Linked DNA regions of Drosophila melanogaster. The protein of the gene in region 1 interacts with the protein of each later gene in a pairwise test. Each region holds a gene or a part of one and is shown on either strand. Other genes may lie near its edges.

Region 1 (9,567 bases):
AATTTAATAAGTTCACCGACAACCTTTACATTAATACTATTTCCCAGCAGTCGATACTTTTGTCGATTCGTTGTTTCTGGCGGAAATTCAAAATTCTCCGGAAAACTCATTAGACGAGCAACTTCCCGTGGCGTGAAATAGCGCAGTCTCACCTGGTGCAACAGGTCCAAGCGTTGCTGCAAAATCTTCTCCGACTTCGATGCATCCTGATTACTTGTGTCAATTTCCTTGACCAACTCGAAGATGCGGTGGGATTCGTCCTCCGAAAGCGGTGTGTATGCAGAGCCCGTGCCCTCGGTGTAATGGGTGTAGCCCTTTGTAAAGCACATGGATCTACTTTGAGCAGGATGTATTATGTCCATGACCAGCACTCTTTTGGTCAAGACATCGTCGGGCACCAGGAAATCGGGTGATACATTTTCCTCCACAATCTCGGCAATTTGTGAAAGACCCTGATTCTGGGCTATAGCACCCGGCATTTCTTCCCAGATCTTTCCACCGGCAAATGGAAAGTCTGCACCCTTGCGGGCGATGCAATAGTAGCGATATCGAGTATTTGGCACATTGAATTGCGTTGGCGTTAGAATAAACTCCCGCCAATGGAATCCCGACCGCTCCAGCGATTCAATAAACTGATTTCGCGCCTGTGAGCTCTCGAAACCCTTGACGTTTTCCATGAGTATGTACTCCAGTTCCTGGCACTCTGGGATCAGTCCACACAGATGAGTAAGTGCATCCGATCGCTTGTCTTCCGTGTCCCTTTGCAATCCCTGGCGAGTGTGGGGCTGACATGGCGGGGACATCAGCAGCATGTTGGCCTGAAGCTTTGTGACTTCCTTTACACTCAGGCTTTGAATATTCCTAGTTTTCACCAAATTACTGCCGTAATTGTGCGCATAAACCGCATTGGCCACGGTGTTGACATCCAAGGCGGCAACTATTTGTCCATCCAATTGGGCATCTTCAAAAGTATATATTAGTTTCGCATGTATCATGATCGACGAACTCACAATTAAAGGCATAATGCATGCCGCCAATGCCACTAAATAGTTCTAAGACCCGAAATACCATTTTAATTAAATATATTTTTGTTTACAAACTACACGTTGTGAGTGGCACGTTTTCCAACACTGCCCCACACAGCAGATTGTCTGCGTTTCCGTGTGATTGGTATAAGAAGAAGAATATCAACACGTGCCGCTCGCATTTTTGTGAATTCGTGATTCTCTCGGAATAATGATAAAAATTAAGCGAAAAACAGCCCCTCCGCCCGTGGAACAGGACTCGGACAGCGATTCCAGCTTTGACGAGGAGGAGCCACAGGATTTGGAAGTCCAGGAGGGGCCAGTCACTGATAGCAGCGATGAAGAAGCCGCCTCCAGCAGCAAAAAAACGGCCAAACAAGGGGAAGCCAGTGAGGATTTAAAGGAAGAGGATGATGACGACGATGAGGAGGAGAATGACGACGACGACGAAGAAGAGGATGATGACGACGACGACGACAAGAAGACACGAATTCCTGTTTTGAATCCCCTCAGCTGGATGCGCAACAAGGAGCAGCGTTTGGCGTTGTACAAAAAAATGAAGAAGGAGAAGCACAAGAAAAAAATGCAGGAGCGCCGTGCCCGACGGAAGGCTGGTGTACCCGCCAATCCTGGTCACACCATAGAGAGCCTGCGAGAGAAGGACCAAACAGAGGTGGCCAATCTGAACGATTCCGACAACGAGGAGTTGCAAAAGGAACTCCAACTGGACGATTTCAGCTCGTACTTCGAACGTTCGTACGAGCCAAAGGTGCTGATCACTTTTGCTGACAATCCGGTGACCAAGACGCGTAAGTTTGGACTGGAGCTTTCGCGCATATTCCCCAACGCCCTGGTTAAGATTCGCAACAAGTCGTCGGTGAAGAAGATATGCAAAAGCGCCGAGCGCGAGGAGTTCACAGACGTCGTGATCGTTAACGAAGATCGCAGAAAGCCCAATGGGCTGCTGGTCATTCATCTGCCCAATGGTCCCACTGCCCACTTCAAGCTGTCCAACGTGAAGCTCACCTCGGACATAAAGCGCGATCACAAGGAGATAACCAAGCACAGGCCCGAAGTGATCCTGAACAATTTTACCACACGTTTGGGTCTGACCGTGGGCCGCATGCTGGGTGCCCTCTTCCATCACGATCCCGAGTTCCGCGGCCGCCGAGCGGTGACGTTCCACAATCAGCGAGATTACATATTCTTCCGTCACCACCGCTACGAGTTCACCAAAGAGGGAAAACGCGTAAAGCTGCGCGAACTGGGGCCGCGGTTCACCCTGAAACTACGTTCCCTGCAGGAGGGCACATTCGACAGCAAGACCGGTGACTATGCCTGGATAATCAGCAACAAACGGCACGCCATGGAGTCGCGACGTCGCTTCTTCCTCTAGGTGTATTTCGAGGCATTGTATTTAGGTATAGAACTACTTAATAAACCAACAGTTAATACGAAAATAATAGCTTGATTGAAGAGAGAGGTGATAACCATTAGCGACCGCCGTATTGTTTTGTCGGTGATAAAATAAAATACAAATTTGCCTTAGCCTAAAAAATGTGCAACACTCAACAGTTAACCAATTGGCACACCACGAGACTATCGTGCTCCGTCAGCCACTACATGGTTGGGCACTGGGGACCGGGACCGCCGGCTGCTACGCCGGCAGTGGGATCGCCGAAGGGCAAGTCGCCGCCCGTCTCGGCCAGAATCTCTGGCGGCGGCTGGCCGTAGTCTTGCAGTTTGCGCATGTCGTCCAGCACGACGCGGAACTTCTCTCGCTTCACGGCGGCCGAATCCTCGGTCTTCTCGCTCTGTAAATGCCCCTCAATCACCTTGTACAGCTCCATCTGCTTCTGGTACCTGTATGTATTGGTTTCTCAATAAAAGTATCTTATTGCGAGTTGATTTCGAGCATACCTTTCCTTGTCCTCAGCGGAGAGCTTGGCGTCGTTCTCCTCGAGGTACTTGGGGTACTTCTCCAGCAGCTCCCGGATGCTGGGCAACAGAATCTCCGCCGAGAGCAGGCTCTGCATCATGCCCTCCATGAATGGTAGGAACATGTTTCCATCACCCTCGCCAGCCTGTCAAACGGGGATTGTTTAATGATTGAGCAAGGAGAATTCATATTTCATTTTCAGGATGCATACCCCTTCAAGATTCAGTGAACCAAACATGCTGGCTATGTCGTTCTCCGAGGCGGGAGCAGCCAGGTTCTCGGAGCCCTCTTGCAGACCCTTGAGAGCCTGGGAAATGCTATCAGAATACTTGGAGACATCCTCGTCGGTGGCCGAATTTTCGCCGCTCAAGGTGAGCGCTGCCGCTTCGGCCATCTTTTTGAAACCGGCCATGATCTGGTCGGGATCCTGGGGCAGCGGCGGAATATCGCCACTGGGCGTGTCCGGACCTCCGAAGAGCGTGTTCATGCGATCGGCCAGCACCTTGGCCTGCTCACTGAAGGCGGATAACAGGTCAGAATACAAAGTTCAAGTGCCGCGTTGCACTGGCGCATTGACTCACATGAAAAACGCATCTGGATCCTCGGAGCCCTCAGGTCCAGCGTTGGTCGCCACATCCGATGATGCGGACGGCTCCTTTTGGTCACCGGCACCACTTTTATCGAAATCCTGGAGAGCACCTGTGCGAAAAGTGGACGACGCAGTGCGCATTATGTAAGGGGTCGAGAAGGGATCGCCAAAGGCATTTCCGGGCTGTACTCACTGTCCAGCAAGTCGTTTAATTCATCGCCATTCTTCTTTTCTTCGGACATTGTGCAATTTCGGGATGCTTTTCCTTGATTTCGTGGTGGGTGGGAAATGGTAAAAAATAAAGACTGACTGAATCAATCAGTGGGACCGTTCATCTGCTGCTGGTGCATACCGCAGTCAGCTGAACAGGTGTGGCTACACTGACTCACATCTTAGTGCGACCGCATTCGTAACGGCTTTTTAAAAGGATGCGAAATGATAAGAAAAAAATTTAAAAATTAACTTTTCTATATAATTGTTGGTTTTAATTTTAAGATTTCAGTTTCGGTTAGGGCTTAGACAAAATTCATATTACTTAAACAACTTTTAAATGCATTTAATGTTTTTTTTAAGAAAAATAGCTATATTTTGTTTAATTTTTAGTAAATATATTCCTTAAATTAAGAATTCTTATTTGTTACTATTATATAAAGTTCAAAACAAGTTCAGAATACCTATTTCGAAATAATCTGGAATGCATTATTATTGTGGACTACACATAAGTGTGAAAATGTCTAGCCATTTAATTCATATAACATATATTTATTGTCAATGAAAATTTCGAGTTTTGATTTAGAAAATTATATGTCTTACAACAACAAGTCATCAGTACACCCATCTACAATATAATAGTGTACATATTTAAATCTAGGCCTACATCAGACTAATAAACTTAAATTCGAAGCACCTCAATATCCCTCCTGTCTTGAGAGACAAACCAAGGACATTAGTCGAAGATTATCTAAAATAATCACCCAAAATATTTACGCATCTTCTGCGAAACTCTCAGCCAATCTCCCCGGGAATGGCACCTCGCTGTGCGCGGACGGAGATCGGCGACCAAACTGCGACCAGAGCCCAAACCGCACATACTGAGTGGTGAGGGAGGGGTCGCAAAACCATCAAGGTCACGGCGCGACGCTGATGCGCGACCAATTCCGAAACCAGAACGTCACACCCATGGACGGGACACATGGATTTTGCAGTAGGGCGTCCAGCTCTAGGTCCACTCCCGCCCGAAGGTCACCGCTGCGGAGGAACCCCGCTTGGTTTCCTCAATTCCGCTCATATGGTCAAATGGCTGGGCTGGGATGGGCTGTGCTCTTTGCGACTTTAACCGCACGGTTTACCAGAAGAGCAAAACGAATCTTCGATTCGGTACGCCCACGCAGCGAAGTATTGTGGTAAATTTGTGTTTTTTCCTCTATTTCCACTATTGGGGCGGAGTTTTCTTCGGTCAGTCGGTTCTCTGAAAATGTCAGCATGGGCGGAGCTTCGACTGAAATAATGCATAATTTGGTGTTTTATTTTGCGGCTTAGGGTGGAACAAACCGCCTGAAACTCTTACATTTCCTACAGAAACAGGGTAATTTGACTTTTTATGGGCTGTAATCCATTTACAGAATATGCATACATATAACATCAAAAATTTCCCTAAAAACCATAACTCTCTTTTTAGGGAAAAATTTCATTCTCTATTCGCTGCGAACATCAGAGTATATAGTTCAACTTCAAATTTCTTAGAACCCAAGCAGTTCAGTTCAAAAAGTCAAGACAACCGTCAAAAAGTCAAAACAAAAGTCGAAAACGTAAAAACCCCTTCGTTGGCCAAAACAATGGTTTTTGGGTCACACTCACACCCGATCCCAATAAACCAAGAAACTCGCTCTTTTTTGACATAATTTTTAAGGCACCAACAGGCGCGTCATAAAGTTGTTTATTCCGATATAATCGGTTTGCTAGACTAGCTGAATTTACCTGAATCTCCAGCTCTATTTCCCCAGAAGAGGAAGGATTCCAACCGTCATAAAATGCCCATCAGCGTCTTCACAAGCATCTACACTTCCCTTCCTTTTTGCAGGAACTTTGCCAGGATACGATCCTGTACATCCTTTTCATATGCTGACTGCGATTTCACGCTCGCTGATCGCATCGCTATTTTTTTCAACATTTCCGCATCCTTCCAGCGAAAGATGCTCGATTTTACGATGCACTGAACAGGATATAATGGATTTCGCGATTGTTCGGTAATGACGATGATTGCGACTTTATAGACACATTATTTATATTGTGGCTGGTGTCGTGTGGCTATGGTAATAAAGTGTAAATAATAAGTATATATAAAGGAGTAAATAAATTAAGACACTAAATATATGTAATATATATGTAATATAAAAGGAATAAAAGTTCTTTAAAATAAAAAAATTATACTAATTAAATTAAACTCTGATTCTAGAAATCTGAATGTTACATTACATTCAAAATAACTTGTAGCTTTAGTACACCTTGTATTAATCATTCAAGTATCACAAAATATAAGATATTTATATATGTTTCGACATATTTTTGTGTCTGGCCAGGATGGCATTATCTTTTGATATTTTGGCCATGGTAATTGCGATTACAAGGCTCCCAGTCATTCCTGGAAAACGCTCACTTTTCCTTTGAAATCCTGCCCCGAAAAGAAGAACTGGAGAAGTCAACTGCTGGCAGCTTCCCGAAAGACAAGACACCCACATCCACCATCCAACATACAACATCCACCATCAACCATTGCGCAATGGGGCGAGCTCTTCATGCTCCGACACCCATCGCTCTCCATCAAAGTGGCCATGCAAATGAGCCCTTGCGTCTGCCATACGTTTTCCTCTAGAGGATTGGGTCGAAGGGTAGCCGACTCCAGATGATGTGGGTTGCTCTGTCTGTGCCCCCCCAGTCGCTGTTCTGTTTGATTAAGCGGAAATTAAGTGTGCGTTTCGGTTGCAGCCTCCCAATTCGCCATGCCCTGCTTTTTTTTTATCGTGAACTGCAGCACATATATGTTTTATGTTTCCCAATCGATTTGGTGGCTCAAGAGCTGCTTTTGGCTTCCTCAGGTCAAATAGTTTTTATTACAGTGGTTAGGAATTACTCCCAATTAAGTTTCATAGAAATTATAGATTGCTAAAACATAAAACCACTTCTAAGTAGGACATCATGAGAAACTTTTTAAGCTCTTCGCATAAAACTGAAGATTCTTTCCCACTAATGTATAAATAATCACGGTCTCTGCAGTCAATTTTTCCATTGGCAATGCATTTTTTTTAATAGAAAACGCCGACCGTAGCCAGTGATTAATGAAACAATTGAATGATTTTATTTAAATTCGCATATATCCGATGCAAACCGTGGCTAATGGACAAACGCCGCCGAAGAGAAGATCCAACATCTCCAAATCGAGATTCCATAGAAACACTCGGGATGTGAGAAAAACGCCACCTACTTTGTGGACTCTACGCCGAGAAAACTAATGATGTTCTTTCGCCATCCATCGAGTTTGTCCATTATAGTAGAGTATATGATCGATCCGCGATCGAACCTGATCGACTACCACAAAGCAGGGCAATTACAAATCGGGGAACTGGACAACAGGTTGCCGGCTGAGTTGGGAAATATGGATGTGGATGTGGCTCTGTGACTCTGGATGGAGATGGAACCCGGCCGGAAAACAAATTAATCTTGTTGACGTCGCAGCCTCGTCACTTTCTTCGCCAGGTCGAGGGCCCAGGTGTTTGATCTCGACCTGATGCTCCGATGCTACGATCTTCTGTTGGACAACGATGGGTTGCGCCTACATTTGCGCCTTCTGTTTAATGATCAATTTGTTGGCCTCCGTCGCCGTCTCTCAGATGTGTGCCGACAGCGTTTAGCAGTCGATTGGGCTCGGGATTGGTTTGTTTGTGCCCCGAGTTGCCGGGTTTGTTGTGCCCCAGGCTAATGAGTTTCTCGAAAGTGGGTGTATGTGGCAGGGGCTCCCCTTTTTGCCCCTGGGACACTTCCTACATGATCGGCGAAAATTCAGCCAGACTCTGTGACGTCCCAATACACAGGAAGATAATCCCTTTCAACTAACTAACTATTTATTATTTAATTTATAGCTTCTTCATTCTTATACATTTAGGTACTGAAAAATATATATTCTTAAGCAATAATTATACAGAATATGAATATTTCTTTGCATGAACAACATTTGCTAAGTATTTTCGCTGAGTGCATGACGAATGTCATGTGGTTGGAGTGCCAAAACCAAACGTTTGTGGGCAGAGGCGCGAAGTTTCCACCAATTGCGATCGAAGGTATATATGCTATGAGAGATGCTAATTTAAGGACAATGGAGTTCCGGGGAAGCCAGCTCGCGACCCACAAACAACTAATGCCTTCAATTAGCCCGGCTAAACTGCTACCAAGAGCAAGGGTTAATCGCCCGGAGATCGGGAAAGGCCCTCAGCTTTCCGCCCACTTTTTGTCGTAGAGTGGGCGTGGGCTGCGTTAAGCCGCAGCATTTTTTCGATAACTACCTGGACATGGACTCCGAGTTGGCCCGACTCGTCCTGACCCACCCAGATTGCCATGGGCCATGGCAAATCGTTTACAATTGTTGATCAATAAAACGTCGGGCTGTAATGCGATTATCCGCTATAATCGGGCGATCAACACTCGAGAACTTTTCCAAAATATTTGAAAAAGTCAACTGGCGATCGACGGGATCCAGGACACAGGCTGGCCAGGATCCAGGATCTAAGCTGCTGCGACTTTCCCTCTAATCTCGCACTTTGCCGCTATTTGTTTGCATGCTTTAGCGGGGATTGCGATTTACGATCGCTCCGGTCACAGGACTCCTGCGAAAGGACTCGCTCTGGGAGATTCAGCTCAGATGGGATAGGATGGAATGGACCACGGGATAGAATGCGACTCATATTTACTAAAACTTACTGCGGATTAGGAAAAAGTCAATCGCCGCCTGCCAGTCTGTCGAGCGAGTGGAAATATTTGAGGATCAGCGCAGAAGCGCAGGATCAACAGGGGGCTTAAGATTTCAGCTAGAAACATAGCTAAATGAAGGTATTGAAAATCAATTAAATTGTATATAATACTACATTAAACCAAAAACAAGGATTATTAGAAAAGTTGAAATGTTTGCTTTTCCTTAAAATATCTTTAGTAGGCCTGTAGCTAAATAAATAGTGCTATTTCTTTAGAATCTAAGTACTTAGATTTGCTAACTAAGTATAATATACGATGTCTAAAGATGTTGCTTGCCACGGTGTATTACGATATGCCTTCCAGAATTCCCTAATTTCTGGAAATCATGGCTCTAAATAGTCCATTATCTAAGCATCCCGTAGTGCGTTCGTCGGTCAGAGCCTTCTGTGGGCTGTGGACATGGAAATTCGATGCACACCACAGCATCCAAAGAAAAAAAAAGTAAGGAATCACCATGCCAAAGGGCCTGATAAAGACATTAGGACCCGGGGAACGTGAAACAATCAAGGCCGTTCCAATGTGTGACAACAGACCACATTACGTCCGGCCAAAGCGAATCGATTGCCAAACACAAACAGCAGCGGAAACTTGTAGAGTATAGGTAGGAAAAGTACCCTGGGATTCTGTGGACTAAACCATACCTATTACTATGATAACTATATACTTGTTATATATATAAAATACAGTTCCATCAAATATGTGCAATGAATGAATGCGCATGGTTATATAAGTTATATCTGATTCAAATATTTATTTTACGATGGGTTCCTATAACTACACTTTATTGCACTGCAATGGCATGCTATACTAAAGTTTATAGCCTGGCAATAAAACAAACTGCATGAAAGGTGTTGCGCAACTTTCGTCTGGGTTTTTAAATTTATGGAAAGGTCAAATGAACACAGCAAAAACTAAAAACCACATTAAAGAAACTTGTAAAAAAATATAAATATTAACAAAAATCTATGTTTAAAATTATTTAATTTAATGAA
Region 2 (9,015 bases), on another chromosome or scaffold:
CGTATGCAAAATAAATTTCACTTCCGAAACTGAATCTCAATCCGAATGAGAATGCGAACGCGGAGTGTCCTGCTCCCAGCCGGTTGTTTCATGGCTTGTTTTACATATGTCCGCACCTAAGCCAGAGACGCAAGACCACGACGGCGGATGGAGCTGCTCACCCACCATTATATCATTACACTGATATTAAAATGTTTCGATTATAGCCAAGTGGAACAGCTATTTGAAAAAATGTTCCAATTTACTATTTACGAAAAACCATAAGCTAATGATCTATTTTCATGTTTCTTTCTCGCAATAAAGAAGTAAATTAGCACAAGTGAGCTTACATTCGAAATTGATGTCCAACTGCAGTAGTTTTTTCTCCCCGTGCAGTTTCATCTTGGAGCCCTCTGGGGGACACTCGACAATGGGCCAAATGGCTGGCTCGAAAAGGCAAAATGCAGGCAACTCGTAAATCCGCATCGATTGCTTCGCCAGAAATCCATACTGAATTGATTGCATTTGGAGCAGGATCCACGAGCGAGAAAATAGGGGGCGCGGTGGCGGTGGTCCCTGCTCAAAATGTTGCAATTAATTTTTGCACAATGCTCTTTGTGCTATTTAGTTCTCGATTTTGCAGCATTATGGCAGCGACTCTTCGTTGTCTCCGCTTAATTGCCCCCGAAAAAGAAAAAAAAAAAAAAAAGAAAGGATCGCTGACAAAAAGGCGAGGAAAAAGGCAGAACTTCCACTCCAACGCAAAACAGTAGCTGAGCTCAGATCCAGAGAGAGCGAAAGAAATAAGGATGGAAAAAGGCAGAGGACGATGAAGACTCCTTTTGGGTTCTTTTTTTGGGCCCCTTTGATTTGCATATATTTTGGTTTTAATTAGTTAACAAGCTGCTTTCGTTTGTTGCGATTGCATGTTGAACCACGACGCGTATCGTAGATGCTGCAGGTCCCTTCTTTCTCCACCGTACGAAATCCCCCCCAAATTGCATGCATAAGGAGCGGACAACAACAACAGCAACGTATAAAATCAAACACGATTTTTAGCAGTTTTCAATTCCCGGAAATCTTGTACGATATGTAGCACCATACAACTGCGGATTGTGCTGATTGTTGTTGCTCGCTGCCGTTGAGCTGGCCGTTTTAGCCAGTTTTCAATTCCCTATCCTTGGCCAAAGAGCCTGGCTCGAGTTGGCGCGCGATACGATTTCGATTCCGATTCGCCAGTATCGTGCAAATGTTTCATTATTTAACTGATTTCAGTTGGCCAGCCAAGCGGCCAAGCGGCCAAAGAGCCAAGTCAGCGCTAACAGCTGGGCCCAAGAGCAAAAGGCAATCGAAGAAGAACTGGCGGACTGGCGACAACTTCGGATTGGAATACCAACGAAAATTCCAAGATGTTGTCATCAATTAAGCTGCCTCGTATGCAAGTGTAGGCCTTTTCACACCTGAGAGAACTTTATTAGGCCGGGCCTAAAAAAAATGAAAAGAAAAACAGCAACCTCATACATTGGCAGGAGGATGCGTAAATTATGGTCTAGGCCGTCGAGGCTAAGAAGGCAAATGGCGCTGGCCAATAAAATGCCAGATAAATCAAGCCAGAGGTGGAAATCGGCAGTACGGAGTTTAGTGAATTCAACAGAAATGAGCCGGCTACGAGACTTATTTGCATTCGCCCTCTTGTCAGCCAAGTTGTCGTCGCGTTTTGGCCTTCTTACCCTTGCCACCTCCGCGGAAACTTACCATCTCCCGACTCGGCTACTGACAGTCTGCAAGAAAATAAAGCAAAATAAGAGCCAAACATGAAAACTGTTGCCCACGAGTCTGGCGAGTACGCGGTAGAGCCTCACCATCAGCATCAGCCCCCAATCCAATCCAGCCAGACAGCCTTTTGTTCCATCTTGTTAAGACCTGAACTTTATGCCAGCTTCGGGTTATTGTTTCTGGGCAGGGGTCCAATGCCACAGTTCCAGGAACTTTTCAGGTGGCACAGCATGTTCGGGCCAGACACACTTTTGGTGGCCTCGTGCAGCAACCATTGTGGGGGTCTTCAATTAAAATATATTTAAGAACAATTTGGTTAGAAAATGGCGATCGATTGAAGGTTGACTTACTTTAATGGCACTCTGCTAAACTATTTGGTATAGGAGATAACACATATTGAGCTACCTTTTTCTAGTGAAAAGCTATCATCTCAGAAATCAATCACTGAATCTCCACCGACTCGCAGGAACCCCAAGAGAGTGTAATCCACATATTAATAAATTATCTTGAATATATAAATTAGGTATTTCTGCGTAAATTTATGGTCAACACGCCGCCTAGTTTATTTTTTGTCAATGTGATTTGCTCATTCTTTTCTCTATTTTTTTTTATTTCATTTTCATCATTAATTTTTTGTTTTTTTTTGCATTTTTTGACTTGACGGCTTTTCATCAAAGGAGTCACGATGATGGCAACTGTGGCGCATACAAATGAATGGATCTGGCTCGATGGGGTCTGCGAAAATATAAAAAACAGCTACAACAAATTTAAATGTTGTTTGGGAATGTTTTATTTGTCATTATATAATCAGCACAAGTCGCACAAATCGCTGAAAATTAAGCAGAAAGAACTAAGCACCGTCTGCCTTTGTGGCATCAGCAAGAATATCATTTTTATTTTACACGTCGAATACAGTGGGGTTCATAAAGTTAAAGCGAATAGAGTCACAAGCCATTTATTCGAAAGACTTCCACTTGTCTAACCAATTGATTCTGCAATAATTAATCAGCATAAAAAAGTCGATTCAATTTGCTATCGCTGACAACTTCAGATCAGATAAACCCACTTGCAATTAAAGACCAGTCAACTAATCAGTTAATGAATACGTCAATTCAATGACAAACAACGAACCATTTGTTTCATCACTTCTATGTATAGTATATCAATTAGTTGTTTTAAAGCTATGAACCGCACTGTCCATTTGTCTTTACGATTTTATACGACATCTAAGCACAGGGCATATGCGTAATGTTCGCAAATGTTTTCGGCTTGTTGTTGATGCTCGTTTATAGTTTTGGTATGAAAATTTACGAGCACATCGTTAGCGGTATATTTTTCTTTTTTTTTCGGAGATTCGCCTCGAGTTGTGGCCGAATGTTTGGCTTGTGGCAAATGGCTGCGAAGCGAGATGCTTATCGCTGGCCCTGTTAATACCCCGCATTTAAAAGTGTAATTAACGCAATTTGAAATATGAGGCGAGCGACAAAACGAAAGACTTAGGAAACGAACGCGCAATGTGTGCGGCAGGAAGATTGCTACGTATTCGGACTTCCAAAGGAAGCAGGAAGCTACAGAGACATGGGGCATGCAAGCATTTGAGCATGACTCACTCAATCGCACGGCTCGTGCTTGACGCGTATTCCTGGAAGTCGGAGCCCTTGTCCACCTGCTCCCCTCCTCCGTGGCTATCCTCCGGTAGCAGTGACTTGATTCTGCACACAGAATTTCTAATTAGCCAAGGGCCATGGCACCTCGTTTTCCAATATTTATGCGTTCATAGGGCTGTCTGCATCTATCAATTGTTAGCCTGCAACGTCTGCATTTGGGTGGCCGACTAATGCTGGTCGTCTTGACTCTATAAATTACATTCGAACAAGTGTTTGGAATATTTGATGCTTTCAATCGCCGCAATCTCAGTTATTTGTAATTTATGAGACTCACTTGGGGTTTTGTAATGTTTTTATAATTTGTCTTTATTGGTTTTTCATTTATTTTTCGTTTTATTGCTGTTGTTTGTATGCCTTGCTCGTTATCAGTTTTCAAAATTTGGTTATTGTAGTTTATAATTTGCATTGCTGTTTCATATAAATTATCATAATTAACTAGGTGAATGTTAATGAGTATAGGAAAAGCGTGACAAGGCTTAAGAATCGCAATTCGGTTTTTTGGCTGCAGCTAGAAAACCTCAACAATTTTTTTTTTGCATATTTTACAATCAATCATGGAATTTCTTTAACTATGGCTTTCACTTGCTTAATTGAATTTACATTCATATTGTTTTAATATATATTTATAGTTTAAAACGTCTTTATAATTTATGCTTTTCCGCTGCTTTCGCATTCCAGTTTTCGCTAAGCAAAAATTCCAGTTGAAAATAATCCGCATCGAAGCATATAAGCGAAATGTAAAATATATAATGAATACAAAAACAATAAAATTAAAATATGTGTGAGATATAGTGCCTAAGTGTGTGAGTGTAGAGGGTACGGAGTTGTGTGTATGTCGGTGTTCGTTATCTAACGACTTTGGCTTTTCGAATGTTGAATTAACCACTGCAGCGTGATGTCAATGTTGTCCTTCTCCTTGCAGGAAATACTATAACAGCAGATTTCACGGTCCTGTATGCTCGATAGATTCCTGCAATTTATTTTAAATGATTAATTTATAATTTTTAAATAGTTTTAACAATTTTAAGGCGCTCACATTCGTTCGATGAGTCCGGTTTCATCGAGAGCGCCTGGAAGATCTCGTTTATTGCCCAGCACGAGAACTGGAATGCCGGCGAGCTGCGGTTTGTCCAACAGTGAGTGCAGCTCGTTCCTCGAGGCCTCTAATTTGTCCAGATCGGCTGCGTCCACCATGTAGCTGTTGATTAATACATTACAGTGTTACTTGACTACCGATTGTTGCTTAAGTATCATTATTGCTTACACAATCGCATTAACGCCGCGACAATAGCGCTCCCACATGGATCGGAATCGAGGTTGGCCTCCGATGTCCCACACCTTGATAGTCACATTGCCTCTGGTGATCTTGCGCATGTTGAATCCAACTGTGGGTATCATGTCCTCAGCGAATTGGCCGGACTACAAGAAACAAAAATAATTAGTAAGTAATCGTGTCTTAAATAAAATACAACTTTTATATTAGCAAAGAACAAAGCCTAGAAGTATGCAATCCAAAATAATGTAAAACTCGTGTAAAAAATTGATTTTTTACACATGACAGCATCCAAAACCTTAAAAAATTTGTTATTCTTTTTGAAAATGCTCTTAAATAAATAACTATTGTAATATCTTAAAGTATTGATCAAACAATGTCTTTTGGTACTAAATTTAATTCAACATACAACACTTAAATTGATAATTGATTCTAACCCATAAATCTTTGTTCTGTATCAGCATCAATCACCTTACATATGCATTCAATAAGAGAATCGAAAGCTCCTAAAATGGCAAGATGTTACTTCTGTGACTTAGTTTAAATTAAAAAGGTATACTATAGGTTAGCAGTCGCTAGTGAAATGGGAAAAGTGACTAATTGGCGCCACCCACAAGTTTGTTTTCATTCCGAACCTGAACATTACACTAATGCACGAATCTGAATGCAAACACGGAATTGGAGTCTAATAGCAGTGATAAGCAGGGGAATATTTCCGTTTCGGGAGCACTTGAACAAACAAATTTCCCGTAGATGCGGGCAGACATTTGAATCGAATTCACATGACTCATAATAAGTCAGGCGGTCACAAAGGCAGTAGTTACTCCACCTCCCGCAACGACTGGCAAGTGTATGCAACTATCTACGAGTTCCAGTAAATGGTAACTTGAGATCGTCGCATTATCAGCGTGCAGAAATGTGTGAAAAAAACCAGGGAGGCGGTACGGGAATACGGGGTCAGGGGTTGAAGTGCTGATAATGGCGTCATTGTGCGGAGAAACATGCGTATATATGGGCTATATGTAGGTTTATTGATTACAGCGGCAGGAACGGTAAACTTTACCACTAAAAGGAAACGGTTAGCACAGCGTTAATTACGGATGCAGTGAAAGAAACTGGGAGTACGAAAAGATAAGAAATAAACAATGTTAGAGTGGGGGAATCAAGCTAAGACCAATTCCTTTGTCACTGGGGGTTTGTAATGCTTTTTAAGTAGTAGCTGATCCCCCGGCTTTCCGTGAACCCCCTCCCCACCCACACAACAGACAACCACACACAAAAAAAACCACCCTCTCACCCATACACCCACACGAATTCGCACACACCCACTGCGAAAATACTCACTGCAATAACATTGACGAACGTCGTCTTCCCGGAGAACTGCAGCCCCACTAGCGTGAGTTCCATCTCCTCTTTCCAGAAGATGCTCTTGAACCACTCGAGGATCCTGTTGATGAGGGCCAACATCCTGGGGCAGGTGTGTTTCTGGTCGGGATCTGCTTGAAATTCGCGAAAAAAGGTTTCCTTTTCCAAAGAGCGTAAATGTTGTCGTGAAAAAACAACTGGGCAGGTCAGTGTGGCCAAGTGCGCGGTAGTGTACTTAGTAGTATTCGTAGTGAATGGTAATCGTTTATTTCAGCATGTATCCAATTAAGAGAAAATAAAATTCATATGGTATATATATATTAAGTACAAATAAATAATATTATGTCTTCGGGTTTCATCGGGAATATTATTAATAAATTGCATTTAAAATATATGTGAAATCGCTACTGGACAATATTTACTGTACTTGCTATCGATAACGTGTAACCGATTTCCGTATAGTTCGCTGTGACTGGCAATTAAGGCAGAAGAAGTTAGTAAACAAAATGGTAAGATGATGTGAAAATTTTATTAATTTTAATTAAATGAATAATACATGTATATTTTCAGGCGCGCAATGCAGAGAAGGCAATGTAAGTAACCCGGATATACGTATAACATAAGATTTCCAGCACTCATCCGCTTATTTTCGACAGGACAACTTTGGCACGTTGGCGGGCCGCAAAAGAAGTGGAATCTGGTGAAAAGGAACGCCGGCCCTATTTGGCCTCCGAGTGCCACGATTTGCCCAGATGTGAGAAGTTCCGCCTGGAGATAATACGCGACATATCGAAGAAGGTGGCCCAGATACAGAATGGTACCTATTTCGGTTTATTTATTTCTCCCTAACAATATACACTAATAGCGACCACTTATAGCTGGCTTGGGAGAATTCCGGATTCGCGATCTGAACGATGAAATCAACAAGTTATTGCGTGAGAAACGGCATTGGGAAAATCAGATATCCTCATTGGGTGGCCCCCACTATAGACGCTATGGTCCCAAGATGTTCGATGCGGAGGGCCGTGAAGTTCCCGGCAATCGAGGCTACAAATACTTTGGAGCCGCCAAGGATCTGCCGGGTGTTCGCGAGCTCTTTGAACAGGATCCTCCGCCGCCACCCAGGAAATCACGCGCTGAACTAATGAAGGACATAGATGCCGAATACTACGGCTATCGAGATGACGAAGATGGTGTTCTGATCCCTCTGGAGGAACGCATCGAACGAGCGGCCATTCAGAAGGCCGTGCAGGAATGGCGGGAGAAAATGGCCAGAGATGGTCGCATAATCGATGACGAAGAGGAGGATGAAATATATCCCCTTTCGGGACCAGCACGCGAAGCCATCGAGGATGCCAAGGCTCGAGCCGCCGTGGAGGATCCTCATGGCCTATTGGCATCCAAGTTCACCGCTCACGTTCCCGTGCCGACGCAACAAGATGTACAGGAAGCACTGCTGCGCCAGCGGAAACGGGAACTGCTGGAGAAATACGCCGGTGGCACTAACTAAGCTCAATAAACATTCTAAACTCTTAGTTTGATACATTTAAATCGCGTGTTCTTTTAACACGGCATGTTTTGGGTTATGATCATCTATAATTGGAATAGATAAATAGTTAAACAATTTTTGGCAAGGCACTTCAATGCGCTCTAGTCTCTTATAACTAGAAAATGTAGAATGAATCAGTATTGAAATTGATCGAAATTTCGGCGTCCGCCGCCACGTCCGCCTCCAAAACGACCACCTCTTCCTCCAAAACCGCCACCTTCAGCAGCGCGCTTGTCCTTCATGGCTTTAAAGCGTCTAGCCATGTTGTGCAGTTCGTCGGGCACTTCCTGCTCCGCCTCCTGCAGTATCTCAATTAGTTCCTTGGCCATAGCCCAATCCTCGCGCGTAAAAAAGCTTATTGATGTGCCCTGTCGGCCAGCACGTCCGGTGCGACCAACACGGTGCACATACTCCTCGATGTTGTGCGGAAAATCATAGTTGATGACATGTCTTTGTGGATGAAAAAATAATGACTAATGGGTTCCTCGACTCGAAAAATTTGCTTACGTGATATCCTCAATGTCCAGGCCACGTGATGCCACATCGGTAGCAACCAGAATGCGCACGACGCCGGACTTAATATCGGCAATAGCCTGCTCACGATCCATCTGATCGCGATTACCATGAATGCACTGGGTCATGAAACCATCCAGCGTAAGTTCACTGGATAGGTCGTCAGCACGAACCTTGCGTCCACAAAATATGATGATCTTGTCCGTACTGGACATGTTCTTAACGAAAGATGTAATGGTGTTGAATTTGTCCATGTCATCCTCCATCAATTTAATAATTTGTTTCACCGAGTGCGTGGCTGCCAGATCGAGCGATCCGACACACACCTGGATGGGATTCTTCATATAGCTCTGCGCTAAACGACGTACTCCTGGTGGCCAAGTGGCCGACGTCATTATGGTCTGACGGTCCGGACGTATGTCTAGCATCACCTTCCGGATCTGCGGCTCGAAACCCATGTCCAGCATGCGATCTGCCTCGTCAAGCACCAGATAAGTGATGGTGCTTACATCAATGACATTGGCCATTATCAAATCGTTCAGGCGTCCCGGAGTGCAGATAATGATCTCCGCACCGCGCTCCAAGTCGGATATCTGCATGTTGCGATTGCCACCGCCGTACACGCAAACCCTGCAAATTGTGTTATTTTGGTTAAAAAGGGAACTCACTTCATGTTCGATTAGGATAATTACGCTTTCATGCCACGAAAGGAGTACTTCTTGACCTCCATTTCGATTTGCAGAGCCAACTCCCGAGTGGGTGCCAGCACCAGAACGTTAGCTCCGCCCCTCGTGCCCCTGGGCGTGCTCTGGTACTCGGTGTGAATCATTCCGGGCAAAAGGAAGGCTAGTGTTTTGCCAGTGCCTGTTTGGGCGATACCGATCATGTCATGA
Region 3 (6,698 bases), on another chromosome or scaffold:
AAAATATATTGTACAAGGACCGCCGTTTAAATGAAGGTTTATAGGTTTCTTTTTTAGCTGTGGTCAAGGCCGCTGGACAATGCTATTAATCAGGTCCCATTTATTGTGGTAAATGTTGTGGCTAGTTTGAAGGGCCTGTATTGGGTGTACAATGTAAATCATGGAAGGGGAGATCAGGACTCGAAAATGGTGACAATTCCACCCCAACAAAACCAAAAAAACACTTAAACACTTAACGTCTAATCAAATTATATAATAAATAGCAAACAAAACGAAACCAGAAACGCTTAGCACCCTTAAGTCCACCACTTACCCCGCTGTCAACGACCAAAGCCAGTTAGTTAATAAAAACAGCATTTGGAATCGTAAAACGCTTCACTGATCCTCCCCATCCGCCAGCACGCGTTGGGTTAGGTCACCATCCGAATCCTTGGAAACAAGGTAGGATTTCAGAATCGGAACAACCCCCGGGTTCCGGCGGATTGCCGATTGCCGAGGGGTATATCAAATGCATAATAAAACAGATTTTGATACGGCCTCATTCATTCGATTGCAGCCGCTCTCCCAGGAGCACCAGACACATTTGTATCCTTGTGGTTGTCTGCGATCCTTTGGACTTCTCACTGATTCAAAATGGCTGACCAACTCAGTTTTCTGGCATGTAATTAATGGTTATGTATACCGTACAGGATTTCTTAACTACAAAACCACATTTTCAAAATATTCAAGCTTTCTATTAATCATATTTTAATGTAAATATTCATTTTTAAGTTGTAAATTAAAAATATAATCGCTTTCTTAAAGAAATTAAGCGTCAAGATGGGTACTCAACTCTAATAAATATATTTGAACAATTTATCATTTCCCATAAAGTATGGTCAATAAAATTTAAGATAAATACCCAAAAAATCGTCACTGTTAAACGCAATTTATACATATTTGCTATAGTGACCATATCATTTCCTAAGCCATGTTATTCTTGATCTTTAATACCTAATATTGTTATTAGATAGTCGTAGATTACAATTTCTTATATTGAAATCAGAAAAACCAGTATTTTACATGAAATGTAGATAAAGTGTAGATACCACTAGTTCAGAAGTTCGCCGCTACATGTAATTGAAATAGTGGCGCCACTGTATTATAAGCGTGTAAACTCAAATCTCAGCCGTCCTTGCAGTCAGTTGGTTTGAAAAACAACCAAGAAATCCGTTCGATAGCCCACGGTCTATATTATATTAATCTTAGGCACAAGTTGAAATATAATTAAAACAAAAGAATTCTTAAAGAGATTTCAAAACAAACAAAGTAAGCATCCCCATATAACGTATTTATGAAACCATTGGACCTATGTCATTTACAGGCAGACCAACCTCCCACGCTATTCGGCCAACTTTGTGCTCCATATCATTCTGGCCTGGTAGTGTCAGCTGTGCGTCTGCAACTTCACGGGGTGTCCTCGCCTCGTTCTGGCCGCAATCACATTAACATTAACAGACTGCGTCAGTCGCCTACCTTCATCTGCAGCTTCCGCATAATGCGCGTTTCCTCCCAGCGGTCCAGTTCGTCCCACTCCTTGCCACGCTTACGCAGAAGGTAGTAGCGGTACATGACGATTGTCACGGCCAGGATCAGGGCCAATCCTGTACCGGCTGCGGCCCCCAGAACCGCGGAACTAACCATAACCATCTTGCCGATGAGTTGAATTCACTGAAAATACAAATTGAATACACAACTTATTCACAACTTGTTTAACTATAAAAAGAAAAATTATATATACATTATACAATTTTGTGAAAAAAATTATCTTTAAAAGCAAATGCTGTATAAATAATATATTTAAAGAATAGCAAAAAACTATGGCCTGCATGATCAAAAATCAGTACTTATCAAAATATATTCTAACTATAAAAACCAAACCAAGTAAACATCATAGCTATTATTTGTTTTTAATACATTTTTATTGAGAACAGTATTATCGAATGTTTTAACTAAATGGCGAATTTAAATGTCTTTCTTTTGGGGTATTTACTTTTCCCCTGACGACAGCTATTGATTTCCACACTCTCTTTACTTTCACATGACGCAATTAGCTCGTCACTTCCTTGATTATTAAAGCTCTCGTTTTCTAGATCAAATCGATCTTCGCGATTCCGGGACTTTCCAGATGATGAATCAGCACACGTGATTAAGGCAATCATAAAAGTAAGGGCCAAAACCGATAGTAACCCAACGTAGAGACGCATTTTGGTAACTAAAAACAAAACTACTCAAATGTGTGGCTCGGAGCACACTGTTTGTAGGTATAGCTATAGGAAAACAAACTCATACATAGGTACCACAGATCTAACTTTTATTCAGAGTCACAGCTGTGCAAACCACCTGACTGTAGTCGGAATTTCCCCATCTATCGACATTAACTGACAATGTTCTTGAGAACACGTCATTAGCTCGAATTTGTGATGAAATTGCGTAAACGCTAAAAGTCCAAGTTCATGTGATGCACATAGCCATTTCGAAGGATTGCAAACCTTGGATAAGACTTAAAATCAGCTTCGTGCTCGGGATATTTTAGAAAATTAACTGGTATGACATCAGTTGGTTTATCCACAGTCGCTTCATCTTCCTCCTCTTCATCTTCGAAGAACTCGCCATCTTCTCCAGTTTGACTTTTGGTTTCCTCTCCCGTAGGACTGTGAGTTTCCTCTCCAGAAGGTTCCTCGGTTTCCTCTCCAGTTGGCTCTTTAGTTTCCTCCGCCTTTTGATCTTGCGTTAAGTATGTCTCCTTTTTGGTGGGATCTGGTGAATAATATGTCTCATTGGCTAATTTTTCAAGCAACTGCAAGTTTTTTATCATTTTATCCAAATCCGCTTGATTTAGTGGCCTTAAAACTTTCGGTTTGATAGATTCATCTAATGGCTTTGTAGATATTAGGGTTATGCCCATAAAAGCGATCAAACTTAGAGCACACAAAGTACGCATTTCTTCAACGTTCTAAACAATACTGGCTGCTGCTACAAAAGAATCAGCTGCTTTTAATGTTTTCTTAATTTTTGAAATTTCACTTTATTTGTTTTGAAAAAAATAGAGTTGTATAGAAAATTGGTAGAAAAGTTTGAATTTTTAGTTTGAGTTAAAGATAACATTTTTTATTTAGAAAATAGAAAGGAATAGTTAAGCAATCAAGACTATAGGGCTTTGACCTAGACAAGACTAGGGTGACGCCTGATCACAACTGGACCATGACCTCCGAACCTGGGCCAGAAGGGACGGATCTGCTTCTTGGCCGAAGCTGCAGTGGTTGTCTCATCCTCATCGGCATCATCGCTGGATTCGTCAGCGGCATCACCAGACTCTTCAGTCGTCTCCTCATCATCAGAAGATTCCTCCGCATCAGTGGCTTCGGTGCTCTCCGCATCATTGCTAGTCGAATCCTCATCGGCATTCTCAACCACGGCAGCGGAGGACTCCTCATCCTCAGCTGGACGGGCAGCCACAAAGCCAACAGCCAAGAAGGCCAAAAGAGCGACAAGAATCAGGGAACGCATTTTGAAGTTGAGTCTAAGAAGTTATCGCGAAAACTGCTTTCCCATTTCGTACAACATTCAGCTATTTATAGGAAAAGTCTCGCAAATTTTGGCCGATTCGTAGAATCTACTACGAAATCTTTATTTACGCTTTGGTATTTGAACAATTGTCTCAATGGAAAGTTTTACAAGCGTATTTTTGGAGATATTTTTTTTTTTAGACAACAACAAAGGTTCGTTGTGGGGTTTCACAATTAATTTCTTTCCGTAGTTCATTGTCACGGAGTGGGGGGAGTGTTTAAAATGACTGGACCGATTCCACCCCACTTAGGCCATCTGGGGACAGGACGAATAGTCGATCGGTTACTGGATCCTGATCCTTCTTCAGTGCTACTGTTCGCATATGGATGTGCCATCACAGTGGAAATGGCCAGGAAAGCGACGAGAGCAATAATTCCTAAATAACGCATCTTAATCCACTTGAATTTCTCCGGTAACTACACCTTTCTCCTATCAACTGCACATTTTATATAAAAAACGGAATGTTTCTTCTTATTCAGAAAAATTTTACCTGCCAAGCTGTGCAATCTGTAGATTGCCATATATGTACAAAAGTAAATATTGCAGTTTTATCTGCCAACTCTTCCGTCACCTGACGATGTAAGTGAACTACAATTTAAGAGATATATTTAGGAACTGAGAGGCATATATCATAAGCAGCTTTCTTTGCACTAAAAATAACTTGAAAATATATAAATTCTGTAGCACGAAATTATTCAAATTCCCCATATAATCATTGTTGCTATAATATCACTGGGAATGGCAGTCAAAAACTTTAGAGATATATTGTTTTACAATAAAATAGCCGTAAAAATTGCTAAAGCAATTCTGTAACACGGGATTTTAACGAAAATACTTGGGGTTATGACATACAGCTTATCTTGTGTTATGGTACTTTAAATGAAATAATTTACTTTAACTATATATATAATATCAGCATATTAGCAAAATCAAATTATTTAAAATCTTGTGGCCAGATTTTAAATACCAAAGACTGTTATTTAACTGACATTTAAGCATACATTTTTTTAAAAACTGATGGTATGAAAGCGTATTCATTCTATATAATTTTTTTAACTGTGTAGACAAGCCCCTCAAGCTAAACAAATTCTGCAAAAAGTATTATATACTTTGTGGCGTTTTTTCATATCGATCGACATATATAGCTTTAATTTATTTACTGTTTTATTTGTTGTATAATTTTAAAGCATTTTGTCTAATGTTTATTGTTAATGGATATTTTAAAAACACGTGTTATTAATCGAGGAAAAGGGGCCTTGCTTGGATGAGAAGAGGTCCGAATGGTCGAATCTGGTTGTTGGGTGGAGCATCCTGCTCCTGATCGCCTTCTGAATCGTTATTATTATCCGATTCGGTATTATCATCAGACCCGTTGTTATCTTCCTCATCATCTCCGCTTGATTCATTATCTGACTCCTCCTGATTATCCTCGCTATTTTCATCATCCTGGTTATCCACATTTCCAGAATCTTGACTTTCTTCAACAGCAGGTTCTTCCTCGGCAGCATCGGAGTTTCCCTCGCCATCATTACTGGACGAATCCTCATTGGTGTTATCCTGGATGGAGGACTCCTCATCCTCAGCTGGCCGTGCAGCCACAAGACCAACAGCCAAAAAGGCCACAAGAGCAACGACAATTAGGAATCGCATTTTTTTGTGTTCTTGTGCTCAGCGAAGTTTTAAACTGATTTGAAACTTTACTCGATCAATCGCTTTTTATATTAAATGCCTTTTTTTGTTATTTGAACGAGTCATTTACGAATTTCATATTTGAACAAATGCTTATCCCATTATTGCGTGGTGACGCACAATCTTAATTGATATTATTCTGGGAATTGTCCAGAATTGTTTTGAGTAAGTGGGTTCGTTGTGCTTGCCTCTATTCTGATTAACAGGTATCTAATAGTCGTGGCACTTGACTATAGCGACCTCTGTTTTTATTTTGTCATATTTATTACACACTCGCATGCAATCATTGAATTAAAAAGATAGTGAATGGTTTTTGGCCTTTTTAAAACATTAGATACAAATTTTCTTACCTTCATTACTATTTACTTCGCCTAAAGGATTTTCATTTCCGTCGTGGTAATATGTGCTAATATAAAGCAAAATAAAAAATCTGATATCTCCAAATCGAACTTCAAAACGTTTATTGATTTCATTTAACTTATAAAGACCAAAAAACGTATTTAAAAGTTTTACCCTGAATAAGTTTTATTTTTATTTTCTTTATTGGTGATTTATCAGTTGCTCATTTCATATTTTGTGTTTGAGAAATTGCATCGGGGGAGAATTTCTAAATATTTTTGTATTTTCGAATTTAAGCCGCTGATGTTGTAGAGCACCAGTCAACTGGGGCTTTTGGGTTGACAATAACGATAACTTCTCCACTTGGATGGGGAAGTGGGCTTGCACTCACAAAGGCCATGGCCAAAAGAGCAATTATCACGAGTACCATCAGAAAGTGCATCTCTATTTCGTAGACTTAGTTCTTCTTTGAATAAGTTTTTTCAAAGTACTGCACTTCTTATATATGAATGCCGTGTTTGCTTTAAAATTTCTATTGCAAACTGCACAATGGCTGCACCTTACTAATGTTAAGTAAATATTTGAGAGATAAAACATTTATTGATCTATTGAGCCACACATTACAGGCAGAAAATTATTTCTTTTTCCCTGCGCTGAAATAAGAGTATTAAGAGTGGCTTTGAGGCCAATTAATTAAATAAAAATTGCATTTTTAAGATTTTGTTTAGTATGTAATTCTTTACAAAATCATTTAAGAGCTGTATAAAAAGAAGTTAAGTAAAAAGCACCAATTATGATGGGTGTTTCCAGAAATGTGTGTATTTACTAGAATAACATAAAAACCTTTACTTATTTGGTTGTTGAAGATGAACTGTGTATTTCTGTGTAAACAGTTGTTTAAACGTCTAACGACCGGTGAAAGCGTGTAGATAAAGACAATAAAGAATAGAAAGGGTTAATTCCCATTAGAGCTACTCTTCATCTTGATTGTACTGGATGCTCTCGTCGCTTTCGGAATCATCATTGTTCTGGGAATCGTCCTCCGGGGATTCAGGCTCATC

What was found.
Region 2: the proteins of Pex19 (region 1) and Arl8 interact in a two-hybrid assay, tested with the Drosophila melanogaster proteins (one large-scale study listed by BioGRID).
Region 3: the proteins of Pex19 (region 1) and CG12310 interact in a two-hybrid assay, tested with the Drosophila melanogaster proteins (one large-scale study listed by BioGRID).

What each region holds. Positions count from the first base shown.
Region 1 is NT_033779.5:12,088,090-12,097,656, reverse strand, and holds Pex19 (peroxin 19), read right to left. Parts: upstream 5,836-9,567; 5' UTR 5,531-5,835; exon of another isoform or gene 5,299-5,530; intron 3,970-5,298; 5' UTR 3,796-3,969; coding exon 3,747-3,795; intron 3,664-3,746; coding exon 3,546-3,663; intron 3,480-3,545; coding exon 3,176-3,479; intron 3,110-3,175; coding exon 2,946-3,109; intron 2,889-2,945; coding exon 2,645-2,888; 3' UTR 2,422-2,644; downstream 1-2,421. Other genes in the region: Mt2 (methyltransferase 2), read right to left, coding at 1-961, 1,011-1,071; CG6712 (uncharacterized protein), read left to right, coding at 1,237-2,421.
Region 2 is NT_033777.3:8,123,867-8,132,881, reverse strand, and holds Arl8 (ADP ribosylation factor-like 8), read right to left. Parts: upstream 6,278-9,015; 5' UTR 6,163-6,277; coding exon 6,040-6,162; intron 4,842-6,039; coding exon 4,687-4,841; intron 4,621-4,686; coding exon 4,459-4,620; intron 4,393-4,458; coding exon 4,272-4,392; 3' UTR 3,047-4,271; downstream 1-3,046. Other genes in the region: CG9667 (uncharacterized protein), read left to right, coding at 6,567-6,569, 6,631-6,653, 6,717-6,877, 6,939-7,570; CG7878 (uncharacterized protein), read right to left, coding at 7,744-8,059, 8,117-8,752, 8,815-9,015. UniProt on the Drosophila melanogaster protein: Required for normal functioning of the late endocytic pathway including lysosome motility and late endosome-lysosome fusion. Not required for the delivery of lysosomal membrane protein-containing vesicles to late endosomes.
Region 3 is NT_037436.4:15,047,217-15,053,914, forward strand, and holds CG12310 (uncharacterized protein), read right to left. Parts: upstream 3,591-6,698; 5' UTR 3,550-3,590; coding exon 3,205-3,549; 3' UTR 3,047-3,204; downstream 1-3,046. Other genes in the region: CG43678 (uncharacterized protein), read right to left, coding at 1,992-2,246; CG18581 (uncharacterized protein), read right to left, coding at 2,480-2,983; CG43679 (uncharacterized protein), read right to left, coding at 3,807-3,998; CG13461 (uncharacterized protein), read right to left, coding at 4,846-5,259; CG43680 (uncharacterized protein), read right to left, coding at 5,930-6,079; CG18649 (uncharacterized protein), read right to left, coding at 6,609-6,698.